Linked DNA regions of Drosophila melanogaster. The protein of the gene in region 1 interacts with the protein of each later gene in a pairwise test. Each region holds a gene or a part of one and is shown in the gene's direction. Other genes may lie near its edges.

What was found.
Region 2: the proteins of CG6891 (region 1) and Ctu1 interact in a two-hybrid assay, tested with the Drosophila melanogaster proteins (one large-scale study listed by BioGRID).

What each region holds. Positions count from the first base shown.
Region 1 is NC_004354.4:18,772,299-18,782,972, forward strand, and holds CG6891 (uncharacterized protein), read left to right. Parts: upstream 1-2,929; 5' UTR 2,930-3,280; coding exon 3,281-3,331; intron 3,332-4,199; exon of another isoform or gene 4,200-4,557; intron 4,558-7,334; exon of another isoform or gene 7,335-7,547; intron 7,548-8,382; coding exon 8,383-8,706; intron 8,707-8,779; coding exon 8,780-8,896; 3' UTR 8,897-9,047; downstream 9,048-10,674. Other genes in the region: CCKLR-17D3 (Cholecystokinin-like receptor at 17D3), read right to left, coding at 914-1,487; CG18259 (uncharacterized protein), read right to left, coding at 9,478-9,559, 9,616-10,357, 10,415-10,674.
Region 2 is NT_033778.4:9,094,784-9,101,495, reverse strand, and holds Ctu1 (cytosolic thiouridylase subunit 1), read left to right. Parts: upstream 1-2,970; 5' UTR 2,971-3,045; coding exon 3,046-3,093; intron 3,094-3,149; coding exon 3,150-3,307; intron 3,308-3,359; coding exon 3,360-4,185; 3' UTR 4,186-4,565; downstream 4,566-6,712. Other genes in the region: CG8777 (uncharacterized protein), read right to left, coding at 1-359, 419-603, 660-842, 893-1,307, 1,367-1,444, 1,510-2,105, 2,243-2,435, 2,543-2,754 and 1 more. UniProt on the Drosophila melanogaster protein: Plays a central role in 2-thiolation of mcm(5)S(2)U at tRNA wobble positions of tRNA(Lys), tRNA(Glu) and tRNA(Gln). Directly binds tRNAs and probably acts by catalyzing adenylation of tRNAs, an intermediate required for 2-thiolation.

The sequences.
Region 1 (10,674 bases):
AGCCAGCAGCTCACCCAGTGACGAACTGGATGGTGGCCGGGATTACTGGGGCAACCTGCCACATGACGCAATGGGCAAGCGAATTACCGAAATCGTGAAATATGTATTTACAACGCCGTTGCTAATGCGCCGTTTCACATAAACATAAAGAACGAGCTGCCAGTTTTTCTTTCGAAAGCCCATTTAATTGTCCGTGGCCCCCCAAGTAGCGCCAACAAATGTCTTTTTAATCACGTCCAACTGTTGTCCTGCCAACGCGTTTGATTTGAAGTTATGCGATGGCCGTGCGACTCTTAAGGATGCACGCTATCCGTATCCTGTCCACAGACAATGGCGCACACTCTGTCAATAACATGGGCCCACATTATGATTCTCATTTCCATTTTCAGTTTTCTGAGAACATGCGACACGCACAGGGATATGGATACGGATGTGGGTATGGGTATGGTGGTATGGAAATAAAGGGGTAACTAGGTGGAGATGGAAACCAGGACATTGTATGCCCACCTTTTACACAACTTGTTGTTTTGCGCGCTTTATGAGCTCTTCCCCGCAAGACAGGGCCAATAAAACGATCCACATGCGACGATAATCGTAAAAAATTATTTTAATGCCCCACCAACGAACCTAAATGCGCAGGAACCCAAGAGCCCAAGAACCTAGGAACCAAGGAAACTACGAATCCCGGTCGCCCCCAACTCACACGCGCCATAAATAGGGCCCTCAACTTATGTATTTGTAATTCCAACTAATTGAAGGCTACAGAAGATGGGGGAATTGGGACAGCTAAGCTAATATTAGGCGGTTACTTATAATGTCCGAGAACGCAGCTCCCTCCAGTGGGACAGGTCGTTAAATAAGCCAGGCGTTTAGGCATTTAGTGGTTGCCGTTTACCGGGAGGACTCCACTCACCTTGCGAGAACTGAAAGAGCTTGCAGAGGAACTCGCCAAAGATGAAGTTTCGCAGCAGGGTGCCCACCAGGGTGACGGGCATGCAGAGCACGCCCAGCAGCATGTCCGATATGGCCAGGTTGAGCAGGAACACGTTGGTTATGGTACGCATCCGGCGATTCTGCACCAGCGTCGAGATGACCAGCAGGTTGCCCAGCACGGCGAACAGCAGAATCATGCTATAGCTGGGTATCAGCCAGACGGGCATGCCAGTGGAAGTACTGGAGCTGGAAGCGGGTGTGGAACTGGGACTTGGACTTGAACTGGTGCCCAGGGAGAAGGCCAGTTCGGTGACCAGGTCACTGGGCTCGGTGTCCATATAGCCATCCCTATCATCATCGCCATAGCTGCTTGTCGCATTGCCCGCCAAGGAGACAGTGCCTCCGTTTCCAGTTCCATTGTAGGGTGCCACGTTGAGCGACACTATGTGACCCGCCGCACTTGGCGCATTGGCATAGTAGTCGAGCAGTGCCCTATAGGCAGCCGCTGCAGCCATGGCCGCCTGGTCGGCATCCCCCTCCTCGTAGTTGAACATCCCGGATGACCGGGTGATTCGTGGCAATCACTGGCCACCACCGCCTGACATGTCCCGTTGCGGGTCACCGAAAAAAATAAAATAAAATTTCACTCAATTGCTATTGAAACGGCGACGCTTGCGCGCAGGCTGGCAAAGATTGCGATATGGAACTCGGGGGTATCCGAGCACACGAGCTGGCGGCTTTGGCTGCCAGGAGAGGGCTCGCCTGCTACCGTTGCGGGTAACGCGTCGTGGGCAACTGACGACTGGCGGACGAGGACGACGCCTCCGCTCCGCTGGGCTAGCTGCCGCAACATGTTGCGTGGGCGATGCCGAATGGCGCAAACTCACCACGGCAACTTGTGGCTAGCAGCATGCTGCCAGGCAGCCCTGTTGCCGGGCAACTCCCATGTTGCGCGGAGGACGTTCCCTGCCGATTGGGACAAATTAATACGGTGCACTGCATCATCCATGGCGTCTGCAGCGGCGGAGCAGCTGCTGTTCGGCCCACGCACCGCGCTAATCATCAAATCAGCCGCATTCCTACGGCACTTGAGTGCCAGAGAATACAATCTCGGCTCGTTATGTGTTTGCACAAATGTTCTGCGCTAATTCCACGGATCGCATTCCCAGCCGACAAGCTGGCAGGGATCAGTGCTGATCTAGACATAGTTTTGGATATATAGCGATTCCGATTAGCACCTATAGCATCTATTTCAAAGACTACCTTTTCGCTTGCAATTGTTGCTCGTTTTTTCGGCGCAGGAAGTGAATGGAATAGCCCTCGATGAAGGAAAATAACATGACCGGGAGCTGCAGTGGTAAGACGTGACTCCACTGGGATACTGGATATGACTATGCCAGGAATCCGTGTTGCCGAAGAAACCCAATAAATCCAATAAATTCATGTTTTGATAGAATAGATAGAATTCACTTCTCGTAAGCCTCTTCACCATCGAGGAAGAGATCTTCTTCAAGGGATTCAGCTGATCCTTAAGGACGTACATAGTTTAGATGGAGGAGTACAGTCGTTGTTTTTCTATCCATCTGACTATACATATATTTGCGCACGATGTTATGGTTTCCTGTGGCCATTGCCAGTTAAGATGGCTAACACGAAGTATTTATGCAAACTTCATTATCATTATAGGAGCATCTAGCAGACTAAATTTTCTCGCGGTGTACGCATAAAACACTAGCCAACATCTGGCTTTTTTTGGTGTTTCCGAAATGCCTGCACTGAAAATGAAAATGAAAATAAAGCCAAATGCGGCGACATCGTCGCAGTTCGCCCGCTCTCGCTTGCTCCCCACGCAGCCGTCTCTGTCGCACCTGCTGTTTGTCTAACAGCTGCCGTGGGGCCTTCTGGCCAGTGCATCTCGCTCGCACGCACGGCGACTGCGCCGCCGACTTCGGCGGTCGACGGTCGGCACTTCATTCGGAGTTGCAGACGCCGGCAACGCCGCATTCGTGAGATACAACTCGTGGTGGTCGGACGAAGTTCAGCGGCTGCTCTAATATCTGGATATCTGGAACTGTGCTGGTTCTGTCCATCGCTCTTTGTGCGCTTGGATTGTGTTTTTTTGTTGTTTTTCTGGCGCTGTGTATTTTTGTTTTCGTTGTCATTGTGCCACTCTGCCACTCTGCCACTTTGTCACCTTGCAAACGGTCAACTCTTCCCGCCAGACCAGCACTCCGTTCCCCTTCGAGACTCACCCGCGATCCCAGGAAGCTGTTCCCAAGAGCACCAGCATCCCAGCTGCGCATTGAAAACCATATCTACATCCACATCCAGAACACAGCGCACCAGCATGTCGGACGGCATCGAGGTCGAGCAATTGGTGGAGAGCAAGCCGAGAAGGGTGAGTAGTGGGGAGTGGGTTGGGCACACATGGAGTTCGAGTTGGAGTTGGAGATGGATGGAGTCGGTAGTCCTGCTCCGGGCAGGGACCATGAAATGTGTGTGTATACCGGCAGGGGACGACCGAAAATTAAGAATTATAAAAGATTGGATGGGGCAGCCAGAAGTCCAGAGAGTCAGAGAGCAGGCCGGAGAGATATCTTATAAATGCACCGAAAGAAAACGGGTACTCAGTATGCTGATCACTTTTAAGGCTGAGCCAATCCGATGGCACAACCTTAAAATGGAAGAAAGTTCTAATCACCACTACATTATAAATACCTACAATTAAAGAATGCTAAAAAAAAATAATATTCTCTTGAGAATAATGATCGATTTTCGAACTTTAAATTGTTCAAATATATATTGAAAAATATTGGGGATTAGTAGAAATATACAATAATATAAAAATTCAATTACCAACAGTGGTATTGAACTCGGACATTGGCTTTAAGGATACAAAATACAGTTTTCTTCCGGTGTACACACTGGAGTTGCTGAAGCCCAGGCCCATGCGGCGTGTGTGTATATCGCTGGGCATGCGTGAGTGTCTGTAAATAACTCTGACATTGGCTCGCCGGCGACTCCGCTCCACAAGAACCGGCCCCAGAGGGCCAGAGGTCCAGGAGGCGGGGTGGCAGCTGGGTTTTATGGCTCTGGCTGGCTGGGCGGAAAGGGGCAGGGCAGGGCAGGAACAGGGACTGAGTACCGAGGGGCAATATCATCTTGGCTGGATGCGATTGCGGGGGCGGATGCAGATTGTGGGGGCGACTCCGAATCCGAATCCGAACCCAAAAACTGAATCCGAATGCGACGCCTTCGCAGCGATGCATATCAAGTTCAAGTGCGTTTGCAGTGCGGCTGCCGCTGCTGCACTTGCTCGCTGGGATCTCGAGACACCATCGATACCCAACGAAGACGCTGCGGTTAATGCGGCGCAGTCCGTCGCCCTGGCAAACACGTATAGCTTTCCAGATTACGGTATTTAGCGGGCACTGGGAGCTGGGTAAATGGTTGCAGTGCCATTATCTTGCGGGTACTTCGTTCAGCTGATCGCAAGATCTGCGTTTCATGTGACTTTTGGTGCACAGCACTTGTTCGCCAACCTAATCTCTATGGCATCAAACAAAACGATTGTGCAGGCCAATAAATATTACAATTTCGAGGTTTCCAAGTGCAGGCAAACAAGTGAGTAATAAAAGTGTATGGAATCGATGGGGATATCGGCCATTCCACACCCTTTCAATGCTCGGGAATCGCTTCCTGACGCGCCAATTTTGGTCATCCACTCCCCGAGTCGTCGTCGTCGTCGTCACCTTCAGGCGGCATGAATCACGCACTCGGAACCTCGTTTCCCGCAACCCGCAACCCGTACCCCATACCGATACCCCGTACCCATCAGAATGACCATCCACAACCCCATCCGGCATCCCAGATCCCCCGACTCCGGGCGTCTGGGGCGTGAGCAGCCACAAAACAGTTTGCTCCTTTGTTTCCTGCACTGTTTGTGCTAGTGTGCGTGGCGAATGAAACATCGACGGCAGCGGAATAAAAATAAGAAATAAAATGAAATGAAATAAAGTAAAGTAAAGTGGGGGAAAAAGAACATTGACATATCGGCGGTCCCAGACCCGGAGCAAGTACGTCATTGCGACTGCGCTGCGGCAACTGGCAATTTGTCACAACATTGCCAATTATTTTTTTTGCTTGTTTTATTTATTTTTTTTTTTTTTTTGGACTTAGTCTGGCCAAGGCGAAGCGGTTAATAACCGATTCGCTGCAATTTATTGGTTATTTTCCAATTGCCTTGCCAATGAGTCAGTTGCATCGACCCACGAATATTCCGCATATTGTGTTTTCACTGTGCATGTATGTCATATATATATCTGCATCGCCTCTCCTTTATTTTCCTTTATTCATGCCCGATCGTATTATTTGGAATTTTTTTCGTTTCTTATCTGAAATTCATTAGTCAACATAAAACACTTTCGGTCCACTTGTACATACACAATGAAAAAGCGAATAAAATACAAAATGTTTAGTGCAATCGAAAGTGAATACTCTAACTTTTATTGTTCATACTTCAGTATTTGCTTTATGAGCTCACGATCTATATATACCATACAATTAGATATATAAACTATACAAACAGAGTTAACTTGAAATAATGTCAGTGGTGTATACCAGGCATCGAATGATAAAAGATACGGATATAATACCATTCACTCTGTAGTTCTCGATAGCTTGCTGTTTACTTAAGGACAGGATTATTTACATACAATACGTTCTCATAGATGTTTATTTTAAAGGTATCCCAAGAATTTCTACAACTGCGATACCTTTCACAAGGGTATCAGCGTTGAGTTACGCAGCAAGTCAGTTTCAAGCACCTGGCGCTGGGGATTCGGTTTCGTTTTCGTTAGCAAATTGTTATTTGCTGTATTATGCTTGGTTACGTTTAGCTGCAGTTATAGCCGCGTTTGATGCATCGCCGGCCCGCTCATTGCCAGATATCGATGGATATAGCTATAGATACTATAGCTACATATATCTAGCTGGCAATGCAGCGTGCTGTATGAATGCACACATGGGCATATATGGCTCATTACGTACGAATCCACATATATAGATAGATATAATACATATGTACATCTATCTATCGGATATGGCCGCAAGCCATTTGAGTAGCGCGAATTGTTTGGCAGATGGCTTTCCTGCTGGAAAGGTGGCTAACTCAATGGATCTGTTAGGATTATTGGTGGTTCCAAGTGAAACTGAAAATATGTATGCATATACATTTCCTGTCATCGCTACAAGGTTACTTATCAGACTGTTGCTCACTGTTTTCCATCGAGAATCACGAATCACGATTAACCGTATCAATTATGGACTGGCTACTGTCGCTCGCTTTTCTATGCGAATCTTTCGAGGATGACGCACTCTGACTTTCCTTGAAACTATTGTAGTTTCCCTTTTTTCGATATATTTCCTGAAGCCAGCGCAATATCTCGATTCCTATGACTAAGCGTCAATCTCTGCTGAATTTTTATGGCGTGTAAAATTGGAACAGGCGAGCCCTACAGATTTAACCGGCACTAATTGCCCGGGCGATCCCAAGAACTTTCGGTAATAAATCAATTACAGTTCCTTTAGTTTTGCGACAGTTTTCTTATCAGAGCAAATAGATGGCATTGCGTCAATTCCGGAGGTGGGGCTATCCGAGCCTATCCTATCCGATCTTTGGGTGCACTCCCAGCCCAACTGGAGTGATCTAATTTGTCGTGTTGTCATTGTGTCAGAAGTGGAGATATGGCCATATAGGCATATATATGTATATAGATACATATGTGCGAACGTTATCGGGCTTATCGGCTGGAAACTTAATTTCAGCTAATTTTAGCCAACAATTTGGCTCACGTACCCGTGGAGGTTGCAGGAGGAGCACCGACATTTCTATATACATTTGTATCTGCTATCTTGCTTGTTTGGGGGAAAATTTGTCGGGTATTTTCGGTGGGTCATTCGCTGCAACGGTTTCTTAGTCGTCCGCTCATTTTTGGCACAGTTTGCGTCCGCATCTTGTTCATTTTTTTTTTTTTTTTGCCTGCCTTCCGACTAATTAATTCAGAGCCACGAAACGGGAGATTCAGAGCTGTTCCATAGTTCTATGCGACGCATAGAATACACATACAAACTCCAAGTTCTTACTGCGTCGCGTTGTGAAAGTCGTCGCCCGAAACATCTTTGGGTTTAATTGTTTGGCTTTTGATATTTTCGACAGTCGTCGCTTTTCTAATTGATTTTTCTCACCAGACGCCGTACTCTCCGGTCATTGAACGCATTATAGAGCGATCTCTATCTCCATCTTCCCATCGGTATCTGTATCTGTATCTGTATTTGTACCTTTAGCTGTATCTGTATCCGTATCTCTGGCCCAGCTTCAATGTCTATTTATACGCGAGTCTAGTTCCTGACTCCAAGCCCGATCCATTTGGCTGGCAGTTGGACCAACAGTCATTTGGCTCTCTTTGTTTGTTGTCATCCCGTTCCGACGACCCCAAGTCACTTATCAAATCTCTGACCTGCTTTCCGCCGGCTGCTGATTGAAAATTGTCACGCGTAAATTGATTTTAATGCGGCGATCCGCTTAAGACAATAAGAGTGCACTACGTGAAAGGGTAGTTTTCCGATCCGTACTACAAGTATACTCGTATCAAAAACCATCGATCCAATCGCTTTACACGCTTTCCACGCATCTAAGCTGAGCCTAACTTTGTGCACATAATGCTACCCCAAAGATCACTTAATAAACCACAATTAAAATTAATCTTTAGCTAACCAAAATCGTATTGAGACTTGGTTTTTTACATTTCACTATCAAGCCATTCGAACTTATCAAGCAATTTAAATTCATTTACATATCGATATTTTTAAATCATCATATTTTTGGGCTTTGAACCAGAACCCTGAACCCTCATATGTGTGTGCTGATATCATTATCAAAAATGCTGTAATTTAATATGCGGGTATGTTCCAGTATGTTATCATAATAAAGCCTTTATTTTTTCTTCGAAATATGTACATATTTACATTGGCTACTTTTCCGCTGGCCCGCTGGTATTATGTTTATAAAGCACTAAAGCGGCAACAAATTGCTTTCCGTGAATCTGCCCGAACGTAATGCAAGTGGGCGATGCAATGGCGTGCCTATTCCCCTGGCCGACTTGAGGTTGCCTGACACGGAAACAAGTCGAATTGAATGTAATATAACCATCGAAAGCGAAAGCACCGCTTAAATCTGACTCATAGATGGCGCCGTCAAGAGTACTTGGCCCCGCATTGAGTACATACAATACATTTCGCTATCGATGGGCCAAAGCGGATGATCCATTCGCCTTGGCGAAACGATTCGGACTTGGAATACATGATTAAGATATATACTTCCGTCTGAAAGTTGCTTATAGTTCCCCTCTTCGCTTGCTTATAATCCTCTTCCCCCTTGCTCTTTCGCAGATGCCGCTGGCCACGTCGCTGGAGAAGGACTCGATTCGCGAGGCCTACGAGGATGTACGCTCCGATCTGACAGACACCGAGTGGGCGGTATTCAAGTTCGATGGCGCCCAGATTATTGTACATGCGCGCGGTCAGTGCTTTGAGGAATTCCGACAGCAGTTCGGCGACTCGGAGCGCGCCTTTGGCTACATACGCATCCAGATGGGTGACGAGATGTCCAAGCGCAAAAAGTTCATCTTCCTGACGTGGATCGGGCAGGAGGTGGGCGTCATCCAGAGGGCCAAGATGTCCACGGACAAGGCGCTGATCAAGGATGTCCTCAACGTGAGTAGCCAATAGCTAGAGATGCCAGAGCCCAGAGGCAGAAATAGATCCTCTCATCTCTAATCTCTTGCAGAATTTTGCCGTGGAACTTCAGGCGGGAGTGGAGGCCGAGCTGGACATTGAGCTCTTCCGTGAAGCACTGAACCGTGCCGGCGGCGCCAACTACGGAACGGGCATCCGGGATAACTAAGCGGCCTCCAAGTTACTTTACATATACATTTTTTTTTGCAACTCTTAACTGCTTACCAAACTGCTCCTTTCTCTTTAATTATTATGAATTAATTTTATGAAATTTAAAAACTGTACATTTTATGAAATATTATACAAGCAATTGTAACATTACTGGGTCCTCTTATTTATCGTATAATCATAATCCATAGTGTCATTCAAAAAAGGTAAAAGAAAAGTTTTCAATACCAAATTTCAAGAGCGGATGCAAAATCATTATCAATGCCATACATTTAATTGTGTATATAGTGGGACTGATGAATTACTTTGATGATAAGACAAAAATTTTAGCCACCTAATACTGAATACTGAAGTGGACAGATATGCCAGAATTTGCATTAGAAAATTCAAGTTTCTATAGTAAAGAAATGTTCTCGTTTAAACTAGTCTGGTTTTCTGAACATACGCTGGATGGATCGATTCGAATTTAATAAGCGCGAAATGAAAATGGACTACGTTGTTGAACTAAATACTACGGAGATGATGAAAATGATGAGAAAAATTATCTAGTTGCTTTAGTTCCCGGGCTCTGCCTCTCGCTTCCTAGCGGACCCTGAAGAGTACCGAGTGAAGTGCATCGATGTCCACCTCCACGCCAGACGAGTTTGTGGTCACGGTGCGAGAGCTACGGCCGAGAACGTTGAACAATACTGCTTGGTATCTTTAAAGCATATCACTCACCTGGCTTTGTGCACCGAGCGACGGGAGGAGTGCGGATTAACCAGCACACAGTGCATGGGCTGGTCATCGAACTGACGATGGTGATAGGTATCTACGGCCTTCTCGGCATGTTCCAGTGACTTGTAAATAACTTCGGCGGTGCCGGGACGCACCACACGAGCGTCGTACACTGGGCCGATGTCGCTAAAAAGCTCGCGAATATCCGCAGTAGTCACGTTAGTATGCAGATTGCTCACCAGCAGGCGGTATCCATCCTTTGTGTTCGACGTACGCAGCGACAATGGGGATGGCGAACGGCGCTTGTTCTTCGATGGAGCAGCTGCATCACCATCACTATCAGTACCGCTATCGCTATCCCTAGCACCACCGCCACCAACAGCCTTTCTCCGGTTCTCGTTGGCGTAGATGCCATGAGAAATGTGAGGATCCCTCTTACCGACAAACAGACGAGACCGCAGCGATTCTGGGAGTTTACTTGTGCTTGCTGTGTCGCGGTGGCGGCGCTCGAGAGGCTCCTTGGTGGTATTTGAGCGTCCAACTACGAGTCGGTTGGTCAGCGAAGGACGCTCAATGCGATTGCGGGCCGCCTCGTAAATGGAGAATGCATTGTTATCTATTTTGTTATTTAGTGGGGCCATGGACATCTCCACGTCGTCGCCGCGGTTCAGGTCGAGCCCACCAATTGAGTAGCGTGGCGACGCTTGCTTCATTTGCCCTAAGTGCAGTGTGCGAGATATTTCCTCTGAAAGTAGAAGAGTGCTTTTTAGGAACGGCTTGGCAGAGAAAGGCACTAACTAACCATCCTCGAGGTCCTGCATATTATCAAGATCAATATAGCGTCGTGGAGCAAAGGGTTTGCCCGGCTTATGGGATCTGGGGTCAAAGGTTCGACGCAAGCCGGACAACATGTGGTTACCCAGTTCAACGACCCCGTCGTCCGAGTCCCATTTCGCCTGAATGGTGCCGTCCGCATGGTTTGACATGCTAAGGCGGTGACCAAACTGACCGATGTGCACTCCCTTTCCGCGTGCGCGATGTGATGGCTCAAACGACTCTTCT
Region 2 (6,712 bases), on another chromosome or scaffold:
TCCAATTTTGCCATCTGTTGCTACACTCCTTAATGGCCATTTTGCACGCCTTAGTCGCCGTCTCTAAGTGGCCGTTTGCATCCTCGGGTATGAGAATGGCACTGTAGTAGCTGGCTAACGATAGCTCGTACCACAGGTACGTATTCTGCTTCAGTTTTAAGGCGCACAAGTAGAAGCGCTGAGCTAGCTGTAGAAGATCCTTGCGTGAAAGATATGCAATGGGTTCTTCGCGCTTGGCTAGGTTTCCAGCCACATCCAAGTTGGCCAACGAATGCGGCAACTGGGCTGTCTGAACGAAAATGTTAGCTGAGAGGCGCCATAGCCAAACCATTCCTTGAGCTTCACGCTGAAGGAAGGCGCTGTAAGGAATGGATAAAACTTATCAACAGATACACGAAATCGCTGGCTGAGCTAATACCTTTGAAGGTGTTCCAGAGCCAATTGGAAATGCGCTTTGGATCTTCCGTACAAGTTCTGGCTCTTCAAACTATTCGCAATGCCAATATGCGCTTCAGCAGCACCTCGAAGTCCGGGCAGGTAAGTAGGATTACGTTGTAGCAGCGTATCGTAATCTTCAATAGATTCAGTGTACATGCGTATTGTCTATTAAATGGGGTAAAAATTATTTATGTTTTCTTGTTAATTTTGGAATGTGGCACCGTTTTCACTGAAGCTATTTGAAGCAGGGCATAATTATTCTCCGGAGATAGTTCAAGGATCTTTTGAAAGACTCGAATAGCCGAGTTGTACGAGCCGCGTCCCGCATAAGCATCACCCAATGACTCCCAGTAGCTAATGCAGCGGGAGTCATTCTTAATGGCAATGCGAAAGCATTGTATTGCCTGCAATAAAAGTGTTAAATCGGATTCATCAATGATAATCAATTGCTTACACTGTCCCACTTCTTCACATGCGAGAAATGCAGACCCAGCTTGTACTGCAATCGAATTGATTCATTGCTACCCAAATGGCTCAATGTGTTCAGCAGCAGGGTCTCGTTCAGTTCCTCCTCGCCCTGTTCTTGGTAGATAAAGCTCAAGGCATCCACAGCTTCCTCAGCGAGGGGATTAAGGCTTATGCACTTCTCGTAGCACTTGCGGGCTCGTGAGAAGTCCCCAGTGGCCAGCGGGTACAGCTTGCCCAGATAGTCAAAGCACTCGGCAAAGTGTGGGCGCAGTCGAGTGGCCTTTAACACATAATTTAGAGCGTCTGAATAGTTTTTCAGCGCCATATGCAGCTTGCCACAAAGTAGGTATGCCTCAAAAGTCTTACAGTCAGCAATTTCTTGAAGAGCTTCAGATGGAGATCTAGTATAGCAGATGGAAAAGGTGGATTGACTTCTTTAATTTTTGGATTTCCTACTTACAAAACAAATTCTGCTTTGGTCAGATCATCCAAGGGCAAATCTTTCAGCAAGTGCAGTTCGCCCAGCTTGAAGTAGCAGCTGCAAATTAAATAAACTCTTGTTATGCATTTTATTAAACCAAATACTATTGATAAAAAGCTCACCGAGCCAAAGACTTAATATTGCCCTCGGAGTTTTCAAGCGTTTGTAAAATCGTGACAGCTTCTCTTAGTTTTGAAACGCCTTTTTCGTGCGATAAGCATAGAGCATAAGCGTCGTTTTCCTGTCCAATTTCCTGCCACAGCTGAAGGGCCAACTTGTATGCGCCCAGCTCCATGTGGATACGAGCCAGCAATTCCAGCGTTACTTTGTACGCAGGTTGACTTTTCTGTGCCTGCAATGCCAACTGCCTGGATGCGACGACCTGCCCCTCAGCGAAAAGATCCAGGGCTTTAACCAACAAAGCAAGGTTAGAGTTAGGATTAAGCTCCAGAAGCTGCTCAGCGTACACCTGAATGGGATGCCTCAGCTCCTGTTGCCAACTAACTATTTCGGATTGCTCGTGGTGTTCGCAGTAGGTCTTGCATATCCACTCGAAGCCATAGACATCTTTGGGATGCGACTCGGTCATATTGCAGGCGTGCCGCACGCAAGTCTCATAATCCTGCTTCTTGTAAAGCCACTTCAGGTATCGCTTGTAAACCACGCTCCTTGCACTGGGTTCAGAGTTCTGCAGCAGAGCTTCCATAGTCGTTTTGTACTGAAAAAAGTGTAATTAGTCATTACGCACTAATTTATAATAAGAAATTGAGCTATGAAAGTGCTCATATCAATTATAATTCTTTATATTTCAAAATTATTTTTAATAAATAAATTAATAATTATACGGTAACTTACAAGCTGAGTATCTTCGGGCGCAATTTCAAAGTCGTTTGAAACCCAAATGCGTCCCAGATACTCCTGAATTTTCGTAAAATTTCCATTCTCTGTGTCCTGCACTCTCTTTTTAAGTACAGTGAAGCAGAAAGGAGCCACATTTGAGTCAGAGGCCAAGTTGAAAAGCTTTTCCCAATAGTTCAAGGATTGTTCTCTAAAAATGTAAAGTAAAGATCACTTTAGTAGTCCTTTTATGACAAAGTCTAGTATGGATAGTATGGAGTATGGATAATGACCAGGGAGTCACGAGCAGATTCTTACGGTTGCAGGTCAGCCAACTGATCATAGATTTCAGGCAGTTCGTTGCTGGGCGCGCAGTTGGCGAGTCCGAGGAGCGCGGCAGGGGCCGGACCATCCGTGCACTTGATGCACTGCCTCAGGTTTTTGGCCGCCTCCGCCTTGTCGATATTCTGGTAGGCTGCCCCAAGCAACAAGTAGCCCATAGCATTTTCAGGCTCCGATTTAAGTAGGCGCTGCAATAAAGGCATTAGGATGATGCATAACTGGTATGTTCTATGGTGACGTCACTTGGCACTTGGGTATGGCTTCCGCATGCTTGCCCAGCTTTATGGTCTCCCGAATGTCCTTGATCAAGGCTTTTGACTCTTTTACGGCGCTCATTGTAAATATTTATATTTATTTTTCATCTATTCCAAACAAACAGTGATGGGTAACTTGATTTTGTATAACGCCAGTGTTGGTCACTGCTGCATAAGGTGCAACAGCTGTTAATTAAATTGTGTGCTAATTAAGTGTCAGTAAAAATGCACATTATCTGCAAGTCGCAGTGCGGAAATCGCGCTGCTTTGAAGGTAGTTCATAAGTTAAACAGCCCCTAATAAATCCTAATAATGTTGTTTGCCCAAAGCGACCCAAAACCGGCGATGCCCTGTGCAAGGAGTGCTTCTTCGCAGCCTTCGAGGCAGAGATCCATCACACAATCTCCTCCAGCAACTTGTTCCGACGTGGCGAGAAGGTGGCCGTAGCGGCCAGTGGAGGCAAGGACTCCACGGTCCTAGCGCACGTGTATGTCGTACCATTCCCCCCATCGCACCTCTCTAATCCAAGTGTTCTACAGATTAAAACTGCTAAACGAACGCCATAACTACGGTCTGGAACTGGTGCTCCTTTCCATAGACGAAGGCATCACTGGATATCGGGATGACAGTTTGGAGACAGTGAAACAGAACCGTGACGACTACCAGATGCCACTAAAGATCCTGTCCTACGAGGAGCTCTACGGCTGGACCATGGACCGCATTGTTGCCCAGATCGGCCGTTCTAACAACTGCACATTTTGCGGCGTCTTCCGCCGACAGGCCTTGGATAGAGGGGCCAAGCTGTTGGGCGTTGATAGCATAGCCACAGGCCACAATGCAGATGACATTGCGGAGACTGTCTTGATGAACGTGCTCCGTGGGGACACGGCGCGCCTGCGACGCTGCACGAGCATCCGCACCGGCGGGGGCGAGGATACCATTCCCCGAGTGAAGCCCCTCAAGTACAGCTACGAGAAAGAAATCGTGATGTACGCCCACTACAAAAAGCTGGTCTACTTCTCAACGGAGTGCGTATTCGCCCCCAATGCGTATCGCGGCCACGCTCGAGCGTTTCTCAAGGATTTGGAGAAAGTGCGACCATCGGTTATAATGGACATCATCTACTCTGGCGAACAGCTTCGCTTCAAGGACACGGTAAAGAAGCCCGAGCGTGGCACATGCACCCGATGTGGCTTCGTTTCCTCACAGCAGCCGTGCAAGGCGTGCGTCCTTCTCGAGGGTCTAAATAGAGGATTGCCGAAGCTGGGCATAGGCAAGAAGTCGAAGGGCGAGCGAATGATTGCCAAGCAGAACCAGGAACTAGCATTGCGGGAGCGAGCAAACTTAGTAAAAAACGATTTTTAAGAACACATATGAATTTTATTTATTCGTGATTCCACAAGATACAAATTGTGTTCATCCAAGGTTGCCAACCTGAAAAGATAACAACAGGAACGATAAGTTTGGTTTCGCAGGCTAATTTCATTAATACTAGAATGCATTATGAAGCTCAGTGCCAAGTTTTTAACCAGGGCCCATAACCAGTCAAACAAGACGCTCTATCTCCAAAAGAATATTGAAGAAGATTGCCAGCGCTTGACCTTTATATGGTGTCTGTGAATGGTTTAAGTGATCATCATTGAAATCTTCATTTCCGCTAAACAGAATCTCTTTTCGTACTAACCTTTTTAGATATTGGAATTTATAAATGAACCATTGACGGATTCATTTTGCTACGCATGTTTCACATCTGTAAAAAAAAAAAAAAAATCAAAAACAATACAAATAAGTAGTTATTCAAATATAACTCAATCGTTTAAGCGATTTTAAAATGATCAGTTAATTATATTAGAAAAATTTGAATCACAACGGTTCATTAGAGATGTCAGAAATTTTAAAAGCATCATTTACATATTATTTCGTTCTAGAGTATAATTTACCTTTTCAAAGGAGAGATCCTTGTTTGGGCATATGACGCGACAATCAAAGGTGGTTTTCTTGAACACTGCAAAATGACAAAAATTAAATGGTTATAAAGAGCAGCAACCGATTTTCTAAAAAACTTATAAAACACAAAAATAATAAAATGAAGGGGTTTCAGTAAAAACTCGTATAGCTTCATAACATTTTTCAGTCGAAAGATGGTGTAAGTTTCATTCATCACAACACAATTAATTGTCCAATTTACACATAAAATTTAAACTAAATTTTTTTATTATCTTAAACCGAATTATTACCTTTTTCACTGTGTTAGTGAGCCACGTTTGATACATGATATTGACGTTGCAATGAACTGAAATTAAAATATATTTGTGTTATTCAAATGTAACAATCTTTTTAACAGGTTTTTTTAAAGCGTTTAAAATTCAGTGAAAACTAGTATAGCATCAAAATGATTTTCAGTCGAAAGATGATGATAGGGTCATTCATCACGAAATTTTAAGTAGTTTTCATAAATGAAGAGAATAATTACCATTTCACGCTGATAACCTCATTTATATTCCGAATCCAAATCGAAAGACCGATCTGCAAGTAATAGATGAGTTCTCATAAGTCACGGCCACAAGTAAAAATTATATTTAGTTGAGAGTCGAATGTGTCAGAATTAGTTATAACTGATTTGAATCACAACGGTTCATAAGAGATGTCAGAAAATAGAATTATAAATCATCAGATAACTGAGAAGGGCTAATTTGGGATTTGGAACGAATTCTTACCGTCTGTCTCTCTCCAACTCTGCCAGAAAACACGTGTTGAGCATAAGAGGCCATTTTGTTTCTGAAAATGGAATGCTGGGTTAGCCATATTCGCAAATACTAAACTTAGCTAGTTAAGAGGGTTTAAACTGTCAGCTTCACGAAAATAATATGCACCGCAAACTCGGGTTTTTTAAATTTGGGTTATGCTTGGGCAAAGCACGTTTTTCTGCGAGCAAGTAAAAAGCACTAGCTAAAGTAGTAGTTTCTTTACACCAGCGACTCATGCTCGCATGAAAATATTAATATTATTTAACAAAAATATAAATAAATACAATGATGAAACTTACCAATTCACAAATGCCAGCGCTTTAACGCAGCGCCTAGTAATCACAGATTCACCTGCAATATAAGCAAACGCATCGTTTAGCTAACGTTCTTTTTTAATTTTTAATTTGTTGAGACTGCAATGGAATCTCGACCACGTGACTGCAATTTGAATTGCAATCGGTGAAGTGCATTTCCCTGCGCATCACAAATTAATCTTGCAACATTGAGTTCTGCAAACAAGCCAGTAGAACTCGATTTGCAGTTATAATCGCTGCACTCACCGGTCGCCTATCATATCTATAATACTTACATTTTTATATATATTTTTTTAATCGTTTCCAATGCGGTGATGTTCGCTCCACGTTCTTTAAAAAAGTGAAGAGAAGCCAGTGAAGTTGGCGGCGATTGGTGGTGCAGTGTGCACGCTGCTTGTACTTTCAAGAATACTGAAACGCCTAACGCCTGCGTTTGTGGTCTGTTTTCAAGGTGGCGCACTGTTATGAAAAACTGATTTACCAAAACAAGTTCGCATTGAACGATTTAAGTAAATACATACAAGTTATTGCCCCATATTAAACTTAAGTCAATACTTGATTTAATTTAATAAAGAAGAAAATAAACAAAGAAAAAGAATTCACACAAATAAAACACTAATAATATTTTATGTTTAATAAACTTTAAATAAAATGAATAGATCTTAGACAAATACTACCCGACTAGAAAATACTCTTACTCAGCTAGTGGATATGCGAACACGAAAATTTATCATGATAGATACTGCTAAATAAAATGAGAAAAAATTAAAAATTGTTCATAAGTGTGTTTTGAGCGTTTTGTAATTATAAGGAGGGGTGTGGCAAAGGTGC